Tribolium castaneum: one gene and its partner. The protein of the gene in region 1 purifies or fractionates together with the protein of each later gene. This does not show direct contact. Links are inferred from orthologs where the notes say so. Each region holds a gene or a part of one and is shown in the gene's direction. Other genes may lie near its edges.

Region 1 (6,014 bases):
TTTAGGAAAAATCGGACAAAGCGTGGCAACAATACGGTTTGTAGGACGTGAAGAAGATAAGGCAAAATCCCGGCATCTAGGACTTTTTGGATTTGCTCACTATTTCCGGCAGTAATGTTTGAAACTGTCCAGGCAGCTTCTTTGACAATGTTCAGTCTACTGTGTTGCAATAAACGGATCATACAATCTAAAGCCCCGGCATTGATCACCATATCAGTCTACCAAACGAAATTATTAATACTTTTAACAATTGATTGAGTGGCCTTATACCTGATGGTCGTTTCCGGTCACAATGTTACCAACGGCCCTCAAGGCCGGAGTTAGGACGGTACTTTCCTCACTATACAAAAGCATAACTAGGCGGTCAATTAAACCGGTGTCAAGCACCGCTTGAATTTTCTCATTGCTACCATCGGTTAAATAACTCAAAGCCCAGCACGTGTCGGCCAAAACATCCTTATCGTCATGCGACAAAAGTCTCGCCAAGACGGGTAAAGCCGGCTTGACTAACTCAAAATCGGGGTACGGATTTTTATTGCGGCAAAGATTAGAAATAACCCACACAGTATTGCGTAACAAGGACAAGGTAGTGTTTGGTTTGATTAAGTTGATAAGACTGGGCAAAACGCCGTAGTTGAGCACCAAATCGCGGCTCTCGGGCCCATCACCTGCAATGTTACCAATCGCCCAGATGGCCTGCTCCACGACGTCGATGCGGTTTGAGGAGAGCAGCTGTTGGAGCTTAGGAAGGGCGCCCTCCTGGACCACGGCTGCGGTCTGCTCGGAAGTGCCAGACGCGATGTTCGTGAGGGCCCAGCAAGCCTCAAACACCAGCGATGGGCTGTTTAAAAAAATTAATAAGATGCAAGGCTAGGCTCTCGCTTACTTGTGGGTCTTGCCCAGGAACTCGACGCATCGCGGGACAACCCCCAAGCGGATCATGTGGTCGATTGGGGGGTTCCGCTCGCGGCTGAGCATTTTGCGGCAGGCTTGGGTGGCCTTAAACTGGAGGTTCTCGTCAGGGCTCATCATTCCTGTTATCAGGTCATTAAAATGGGGCAAGTCGGGAGTGGGGTTATTACCCATCAAGATTTCTTCGGCAGACATGGTGATCAGCGACACGGAGTTGTTCTCCTGAAGGGGAGTTGAGGCCTCTTCTTGCAACGATATGTTGCGCCTCTTCAACAACTGGTCTTCCTTTTTTGCTTTCCGCAGTTCGATGGTCTGGCCGGCCCGTCGGCGGCGCATTTCCTACACGAGAAGTCTCAAAATCGCAAAATTGCACATGATTGATACTCACTTCACAGTCTTTTCCCTTGTTTTTAAACGAACGGATCCTGTTCTCGTCTCCCATTTTTCTGGAAGTTAGAAACGTGCAACAGGGTCACTGATAGGTGAAGAACAAAAAATTGATTTGATATTTCAAGGGCCTTTTTTAGGTTAATTCATCTGATTCGGGCATTGATTATCTACTCACCTATTATATTTAAACTAGGCACCAAAACTATTAAAACTATTAGTGAATAGTCTCCACAACCGATTAAAAAATAAAACGACAAAAATTCTACGGTCAAAATTTCCGTTGCAGTTCCTGAACGTCACACTGACAATTAATGACGGGCAGCCAATAACGAGCAAGCTTCACTTGGCCAATAGAAAAGCAGTCCCACCAAATTGGCCAATAGAATTATCAAATTTGGAGAATTATTTGAATATGAGTGGATGGTGCTTCGCGCCGATTTATAGCCAATCCAATTTCGGAAAATTTAAAATGCGAAGGTAAGATTGGGCCCAACTCACGAACAAAGAATTACCATTCTGTGAATTAAATGCCTTAATTTTTCGACATTTCACTTAAAGAGGATTAAAAAATAAATAAATAATACGAGTGCAAAAACACAAGTTTAAAGCTCGACGACTGACGTTATGCAACGAACGTATGCGAGTTGCATGCTTAGACCCTCGAGAATTGCTGATGACGCTGCCGGGATTGTAATGGATTGCCGGGAGTTAAAATACAGTTTTTTTTCCCGATCCCGAATTTTAAAAAGCGAGCGTAAACCAATGCGCATGCATGAGCAGCCGTGCCATTTGGTTCTATTTCTTGCCCATGTTGGTGGCGCTGAACCCACCAAATTAGTCACCAAAAGTTCACATGTCCATTGTTGTGCAAACTTTTTCGATTATTAATATTTCGCTTATAAAAAAATAAATCGGTCTCAAAAATGGCTCTTCACGTCCCTAAAGCCCCGGGCTTCGCCCAGATGTTGAAAGAAGGCGCCCGGGTAAGTCCTAATTTCCAAAATCGATCCCCGAAGTGACATGTGGTCGGCACAAGGGCCGGCAAATCGGCGTAAATCTCTCAAATTTCGCATTTTCTAGCACTACTCCGGCCTCGAAGAAGCCGTCATTCGAAATATTAACGCTTGCAAGGAATTTGCCCAGTCCGTGCGTTCGGCTTACGGCCCCAATGGCATGAACAAGATGGTGATAAACCACCTTGAGAAGCAGTTTGTGACCAGTGATGCCGCCACTATTATTAGAGAACTGGATATTGAACATCCCGCGGCCAAATTAATGATTCTCGCGAGTCAAATGCAAGATTCCGAGGTTGGTGATGGCACAAACTTTGTCATTATCCTGGCTGGGGCCCTTCTGGAGGCCTCGGAAGAGCTGATCAGACTGGGGGTCACGCCGACCGAAGTGGCCGAGGGCTATGAGAAAGCCCTGGAAAAGTGTCTCGAAATCCTCCCGAAACTAGTCTGTTACGAAATCAAGGATTACAGAAACTTGAATGAGGTCGTTAAAGGGATTAGAACCTCGATTCAGTCAAAACAGTACGGACACGAGGACTTTTTGGCTAATTTAGTGGCCAAAGCGTGTGTTTCAATCCTGCCCGAGGACACCACATTCAACGTTGACAATGTGCGTGTTTGCAAGGTGCTAGGTTCGGGTTTGCAAAGCTCGCAAGTTGTCCAAGGAATGGTGTTTAAGAGACACGTCGAGGGCGAAATCACTAAAGTGCAGAACGCCAAAGTTGCTGTTTTCAGCTGTGCAGTCGATATCATGCAAACTGAGACCAAGGGAACCGTTTTGATCAAAACCGCAGATGAGTTGATGAATTTTAGTAGGGGAGAGGAGAATCTCTTGGAAATACAGATCAAGTCAATTGCCGACACTGGGGCTAAGGTGATAGTGGCCGGGGCCAAGTTTGGGGACATGGCCCTGCACTACATCCACAAGTACGGACTGATGGCAGTGCGGCTTAACTCGAAATTCGATGTGAGAAGGCTCAGCAAAACGGTACTTAAGACCCAAATAAATTTCAATTTCTAGTAATTTTTTTAAAGGTTGGAGCGACTGTTTTGCCTCGTCTGACCGCCCCCACCCCTCAAGAACTGGGCTACTGCGATGTGGTCTGTGTTGAGGAACTCGGGGATACCCCCATTGTGGTTTTCAGGCTTGAAGGGAAAGAGTCCCGAATTTCCACCGTTGTCGTTCGTGGGGCTACTGATAATTATATGGACGATATCGAACGAGCGATTGACGATGGTGTTAACACTTTCAAGGGTTTATCACGTGATGGGCGTTTCCTGCCTGGGGCAGGCGCCGTTGAAGCCGAATTAGCGCATCAGTTGACTCAATATGCTGATACTCTTCCCGGTTTGGAACAATACGCTGTCAGGAAGTTTGCAACAGCTTTGGAAAGTTTTCCGAAGACTCTTGCCGACAACAGCGGGCATCGGTCTACTGTAGTTTTAGAAAAAATTCTCCAAGCTCATCAGGTGAGCTAGCTATTGCATTATTTTTGGTAGTTTGTTTTATTTTGAAATTTGCAACTCGATACGTACACTAAATTATTAAATTAAGCGCCGGTTTACAAAAAGCTTTGTAAAAATTTAATTCGTTGTTAAAAGTTAACAACGCGAATGGACCAATCAAATTTGTGATCAGTTAATCACGCATTTATTTAACCGTAAAATCACCAATTGAATCGATAATTTCATTTTATGTGGCTAGTGTAATAGTGAGGGTGTTTGTAACACTTTTAATATGCTACTGCAGAACGAACAGAAAAATGTCGGCGTTGATATTGACGCCGAAAGCACGATTTGCGACGCCTTGGAAAAGAACATTTTGGACTTATACTCTTGCAAATACTGGGGGCTGAAGTATGCCGTGGGGGCTGCTGCTACCATTCTCCGAGTGGACCAGATAATCATGGCGAAGAGGGCCGGAGGACCCAAACCGAGACAAGCAGCAGGAAGCGATGACGAATCATAAATAGTTTTTTTTTAATTCGTTAACAATACTTTAACGTTTTGTATTTGCACTTTCACATGTATTATTTAACAGTTATTAATAAATAACAAGTATCGAAAATAACGTTTTATTTCTCAGAACCTTTCAACGAAAACGAAACTCAATAATTAAATGCATTAATAAGGAAAAACATGATAAACTTAATTGAACTCTGACAAAAATAACAAAAATAAATTTCTTCAAAGCATTAACATTCATAATGAAACGCTCTTAATTGTTTTGCAAATTCTGGTTGACTGGAGTTGGGAAAATAAATCCCTGGGAATTGATTCCTAGCGGATACCAAGTGGTTGGTATCGTCGGCGAGTAGAAGTACGGTGTTGGCGAAACGTATTGCACATCAACTGGCGGCGTGTAAACCATCATTTCCGGTCCTTCGGGAGTGTGTGTGTAAATCACGGGAGTTCCCGGAGGAATGGGGATCACAGCCGAGTAGATCTCAACTGGCGGATTGGGAGGCGGGAGAATCAGTGGCGGTATCTCTTTCGCCGGCTGCGCCTCAAAATTCCCAGCGTACTCCTGGAAATTGTCCACATTTTCGTTGTCCTCGTCCGGTTCCAGCGGAAATTGACTCGGAGGACTGTAGACAGAGCTGCTGTTCCACGAGTTGAACGAACTGTCCACAGGGTAATTGTAGACGAAGGGATATTGCGAATCTGTACTGACAAATGTGAAAATGGCAACACTATTGTAACTCTACCGTGGTAAGGAATCACGTTTGGAGTGGTGGGAGCTGAGGCCACCATCGGCTTCATCCCCGGGGAAGTCGCTGGTTGCGACCAAACGAATTTCTCGCACGAGGCCGCAGCAGCGGTGCTCCAAGGAGTCTCCCAGGAAAATTTGGGCATCGGCGATGGAATATCAGGGGTTACTAGCAAATTATGTTGCGACTGCGAGCTGGATATTTCTGGGGGACTTTGCGCTTGGTTGTAATTCTGTCCGGAATTATTTTGCATTTGCTTAAAAAACACAGTTACGTTTTATCCCGTTCTGTGACTTTATTTACCAAAGGCTGGCCAATGAAAGCCTCAATATCTTGGGCAAGCTGTTGCGATGAAACCGCTTGCGTTTGAGACTCGCTGTTACTTTTCACTCGGCGTTTATCTTTACGTTTTTTCGGTAATTTTAGCTTGGTTTCGAGTGTGACGGCTTGGGACGGAGTCGCCACTTGGTTTTTGGTAAATCTAAATTCACAACGGTCGTAGTATTGTTATTTAAATTTGTTTGTGTACCTGTAGGGCAGTGGCCACGGTTTTGCGTCGTTTTCAGGAGACAAATCCGTGTAGTTTACGGTGCGCTTTTCGGCGAGTTTTGTCACATAAACCACACATTTGTTCTCGTTTTTAATGATCTCTTGGATGTAACATTCGTAAGTTTGATCGTCTTGATTGAGAATGCAGCGTGTTCCTAGTATTAGGTTGTCATCACCGTAATACCAGTCGCCAAGACGAAGTTCTAAAATTTGGGGATATTACCTGTCTCTCATTTATTATCGCAGCAAAAAATACACGATTTGGTTTATATTTGATTGTATTTTTTGGGAGAGGATTCTAAAATTTACATACATTGCCTTGTAGGTGATAACATAAAATACTGACGTACTACACCTGTTGGAATATTTTTTGAAGAGTATTTTTCTAGTTTCTGGTCGTTTACAAAATGGAAATAAGAAAGTAAATAAATTGGTAATT
Region 2 (4,478 bases), on another chromosome or scaffold:
ACAAAAACAACGCCAGAAATTACATTACACGTGACAACTGGGGCACGCTGAAAAACTGTGGTTATGATACGATTTAGACTTGTCAAAGGATTTATCTACTGGACATTAGACCTAATTTTCTCTAAATTTCACTTAAAATTTGATTAACTGGGTAGTTTTTTATTTTAGTTGGGCACAATTTCTGTTATCATACGTGTCACAGAATTTAAATATTCACATCTTCTTCTTTATTTAAACAAAATCAATTATCTAACAAGGTGGAGCGCTAGACCTACTGTCACTCTGACAAGAGTGAGGTTATTCCAAAATTTCAAAAATAATTAATAGGAACAATGTTTCAAATACGACGTTGCACCCGTATTGTAAAAACCCTTCGGTCGTATTACACCGTCAAGAGTAACGAGTCCGTCAAAGACCCTCATCAAGTGGCTAAGCAAATTTACTCAAAAATCAAAGCCACCGGCCCTATCACAGTCGCTGAATACATGAAGGAAGTGTTAATAAACCCTTTAGGTGGCTATTACATGCACAAAGACGTGTTTGGTGAATCAGGGGACTTTATTACATCCCCAGAACTCAATCAAATGTTTGGAGAAATGGTTGCCATTTGGTTTTTGAATGAGTGGTCTAAAGTGGGGTCCCCTAAACCAATTCAAATTGTTGAATTAGGGCCAGGCCGTGGCACTTTAAGTCAGGATTTGTTGCGAGTGTTTGACCATTTCGGCGCACTACAGAGTGCCACTTTGCACTTGGTTGAAGTCAGTCCTCTTTTGAGTGATTTGCAAGCAAGGAAACTGTGTATCCAGTCGGACAATATTATTGATAAAAAGTCTGTGATACATAGGCAAGGGATAAGTCATCAGGGGATTCCCGTAAAGTGGTACAGGCAACTAGATGATGTTCCGAATTGTTTCACGTTATTGGTAGCTCATGAATTTTTTGACGCTTTGCCTGTACATAAGTTCCAAAAGACTAAAGACGGTTATAGGGAAATTTTAATAGATATAGACCTTTCTAAAGAATGTTCGTTTAGGTATTTTATGCTGACTCAAACTGCTACAAGTAATAGTATAAATATCTTTCCAGGTATGTTATAGCCAGAGAGGAAACTCCAGCTTCAAAACTTTATATTAGACCAAATGAGACTCGCGAACATTTTGAAATATCGCCTGAAAGTCTAGTTTTAGCCAAACAAATTGCAGAGAGATTAGAAATAGACGGTGGTTTAGCCCTGATTGCTGATTACGGCCACAATGGCAGCGGCACTGACACATTCAGAGCCTTCAAAAAGCACAAATTGCACGACCCTTTGGTAGAACCAGGCACTGCAGACCTCACAGCTGATGTAGATTTTGACGCACTTTCAAAAAGCGCCACTGAAGCTGGAGGGGTGATCACTTTTGGGCCAACTACTCAGCGAGACTTTTTGCTCAAAATGGGGATAGAGCATCGGTTCAAGGCACTTAAAGCAAATGCAAAACCGGACCAAATAGAGGGTTTAGAATTTGGGTACAAAATGATGACTGAAAGCAACCAAATGGGCGAGCGGTTCAAGTTCTTGGCGCTTTTACCAGCCGTTTTGGAGAAACTGTTGAAGAAGTATTCAGTTGCTGGGTTTCACTAATTAATGTTAAATAAAAATAAAAATGAGAACAAGTTTTAAATTTGGCGCTGTCTACTATCCCCACTCCGAAAACAAACTGGGAGAGTCACTGTTGCGATCTTCGTCCAACATTCGGGGTAAAGCGAGATGACAATATGTTACGTGACGGCAAAACATCGGATGTGTCATGCCTACTACACAAATTTCCTTTTTTGTAAAGTAGTCACATGTAGAGCTTCAACAGTAAATAATTCAAAATTTTAATATTTTTGACTCATACAGTTTAACAAAATGCAGGTTTGTACATTAATGTGAGGTTTTTTTGTGTTATTTTCCTGGTCTTAATAATTTTAGGACCCCAATGAGGACACTGAATGGAACGATGTTCTCAGAAGCAAGGGAATTATTCCTCCTAAGAAGGAAACAGAGATAACAGAGGATCAAATTGTGTCTATGTTGGAAGAGACAATTGAACAAAAAACCTCAAGTGATTGCACATTAAAATTCAAAAATAAACTTTGTTCACTTTTGTCCATTTTTAGCTGGTAAAGATTTTTCAAAGCTAGACCTTGATGAGCTAGACGAGTTGGAAGATTCTGAAGATGAAGCTGTTCTTCTTGAATACAGGAATAAGAGGATAGCTGAAATGAGAGCATTGGCTGAAAAAGCCAAATTTGGCTCAGTAGGTGAAATTTCAGCCCAAGATTATGTGCAGGAAGTTAATAAAGCTGGCACAGGCATTTGGGTTGTTTTACATTTATACAAACAAGGGTAAGACTAAAAGTTGTGGTTTTTATAATAATACACAATTATTTTACAGAATACCGCTGTGTGCCCTAATTAATGAATATATGAAGCAACTTGCAGCTAAATACCCAGCTGTTAAGTTCCTGAAATCAATTTCAACGACTTGTATACCAAATTATCCCGACAAAAACTTACCAACTCTCTTTGTGTACTTTGAAGGGGAATTAAAATCGCAAATTGTGGGTCCAGTCGAACTTAGGGGCCCAAATATGACCCAAGACGGTACGAAAATTAATATTTAGTTGTGAAACATTATTTGAATTATTATTTTTCCAGAGTTTGAATTTTTAATTGGAAAAACAGGCGCTATTGAGACCAGTATTAAAGAAGACCCAAAGCCGAAAATCAAAGATAAAATGTTCGCAGATTTGGCTAGTACCAATGATTGGTAATGCGGCAATAATCATCTTTATCTACTTAACGAATTTTGTAACAATTTTATTATTTATTGCTGTTGCTGTATTGAATAAATTAGTTTTTTGATCTACCAGTGTTTCAAACTCCCACACTTGCACCCCAAAAAATAATTTTTTAATAGAAAAACAGGCGATATTGTGCCTTACATTAGAGAATCTCCAAAGCCAAAAATCAAACACAAGATTTGGCCAACTTTTCGGCTTAAAACTTCTTTTCGATCCACTGGTGATTCGAACCAGCACAACTTCCACCGCAGACTACCGGCGTCCTCCGCCCAGTGACAGATGTCAAAACAATTCGAATTCAAATGCGGAAAATTCGTTAATGTTTGCAAATTTCTAACAAAAATATGTGTGTAATTTGAGCAAAAAATCGTGCAACTGTCCGTTTTTGTGTGATAAAGTAGTCGGAGAACAAGTGTTTGTCAAGTAGTCAAAATGGTGCGTTACGCTGAACTGAAAGGCTTGTATGAGATTGAGAAGACGATAGGCTGTGGAGGATTTGCTAAAGTTAAGCTCGCAACTCATGTAGCAACCGGAGAAAAGGTCGCAGTTAAAATAATGAACAAGACGGGACTTGGCGATGACTTGCCAAGGGTCAAACTGGAACTGAAGGCTTTAAAGTCGTTCTCACACCAACACATTTGCAAACTCTACCAAGTAACAACCATAAAGAACGTAAAGGCCTTGCTAATTGTGCTTTTTAGGTGATTGAGTCGGAAACGCACTTTTTCATAGTTATTGAGTACTGCTCAGGTGGCGAACTGTTTGACCACATTGTCGAAAAAAACCGCTTGAGTGAATCGGAAAGCCGCACTTTTTTCCGGCAAATTGTGTCAGGGGTGGCTTATTTGCACAGTCTGGGGTATGCACACAGGGACCTTAAACCAGTAGGTGTTTTCACAACTTTTCAATACATATAAGTAACAAAATAATTGCAGGAGAACGTCCTTCTCGATAAAGACCAGAACTTGAAGCTGATTGATTTTGGCTTATGTGCCCGGCCTGAGGGGGGCATGGGGAGCCCCCTGTACACGTCTTGCGGCTCTCCAACCTACGCGGCCCCCGAGCTAGTCTTGGGGAAGAAATATCTGGGGCCCGAAGTGGACGTCTGGGCCATGGGGGTCCTGCTCTATGCTCTCCTAGTCGGGGCTTTGCCCTTTGATGACATAAACATCGATAGCTTGTATAAAAAAATTCTGGTGAGTTGAGTTTATTTATTATCTTAATCGGGTACATATATTTCTGGTTTCGGTAAGAAGTTGATCACTATCACGTATTCTACTATATTAAAGGGCGCAAGGTGTTGTTTGTGCAACGACCAGTGCATTCCCAGCTTATTATACAAGCGGTTATTTTCCGATTTTAATGTTCTATGTAACGACTTGATTGTCCTCTTATTAAAATAAACCACCGGACACATTGAGCAGCCCAGCGTGCAACAAAACGTGAGGCACCCGCAGAAAAACCAAACGAAATTGTTGATGAAATTCCGTCTTAGCACCTTATTGATGAGAAAAATCGTGTAAGCGTATTCTTCTGGCGCTACTTTCATTCTTAATCGGCTTGGAATTGCGGGGCTAAAGTGGTTGTTGAGGCCAAAAAGCGTCACTTGGCCGTTTCCCTTCAGTAAAATTGGTTCAATTGCGGCG

The links. The genes of interacting proteins can lie anywhere in the genome.
Region 2: the proteins of CCT8 (region 1) and viaf purify together in Homo sapiens (affinity purification with mass spectrometry; 3 studies listed by BioGRID and IntAct, with this or other methods). This does not show direct contact. The link is inferred for Tribolium castaneum from reciprocal best matches to the Homo sapiens genes CCT8 and PDCL3.

What each region holds. Positions count from the first base shown.
Region 1 is NC_087397.1:4,703,759-4,709,772, reverse strand, and holds CCT8 (T-complex protein 1 subunit theta), read left to right. Parts: upstream 1-2,114; 5' UTR 2,115-2,225; coding exon 2,226-2,285; intron 2,286-2,382; coding exon 2,383-3,303; intron 3,304-3,350; coding exon 3,351-3,785; intron 3,786-4,065; coding exon 4,066-4,284; 3' UTR 4,285-4,386; downstream 4,387-6,014. Other genes in the region: Pen (importin subunit alpha-5), read right to left, coding at 36-218, 271-841, 887-1,251, 1,301-1,354; putative bifunctional UDP-N-acetylglucosamine transferase and deubiquitinase ALG13, read right to left, coding at 4,534-4,979, 5,024-5,282, 5,330-5,507, 5,556-5,778. UniProt on the Homo sapiens protein: Component of the chaperonin-containing T-complex (TRiC), a molecular chaperone complex that assists the folding of actin, tubulin and other proteins upon ATP hydrolysis.
Region 2 is NC_087394.1:28,839,630-28,844,107, reverse strand, and holds viaf (viral IAP-associated factor homolog), read left to right. Parts: upstream 1-1,750; 5' UTR 1,751-1,894; coding exon 1,895-1,900; intron 1,901-1,957; coding exon 1,958-2,090; intron 2,091-2,145; coding exon 2,146-2,374; intron 2,375-2,423; coding exon 2,424-2,632; intron 2,633-2,686; coding exon 2,687-2,802; 3' UTR 2,803-2,895; downstream 2,896-4,478. Other genes in the region: protein arginine methyltransferase NDUFAF7 homolog, mitochondrial, read left to right, coding at 333-1,033, 1,087-1,624; maternal embryonic leucine zipper kinase, read left to right, coding at 3,265-3,486, 3,534-3,716, 3,768-4,028. UniProt on the Homo sapiens protein: Acts as a chaperone for the angiogenic VEGF receptor KDR/VEGFR2, increasing its abundance by inhibiting its ubiquitination and degradation.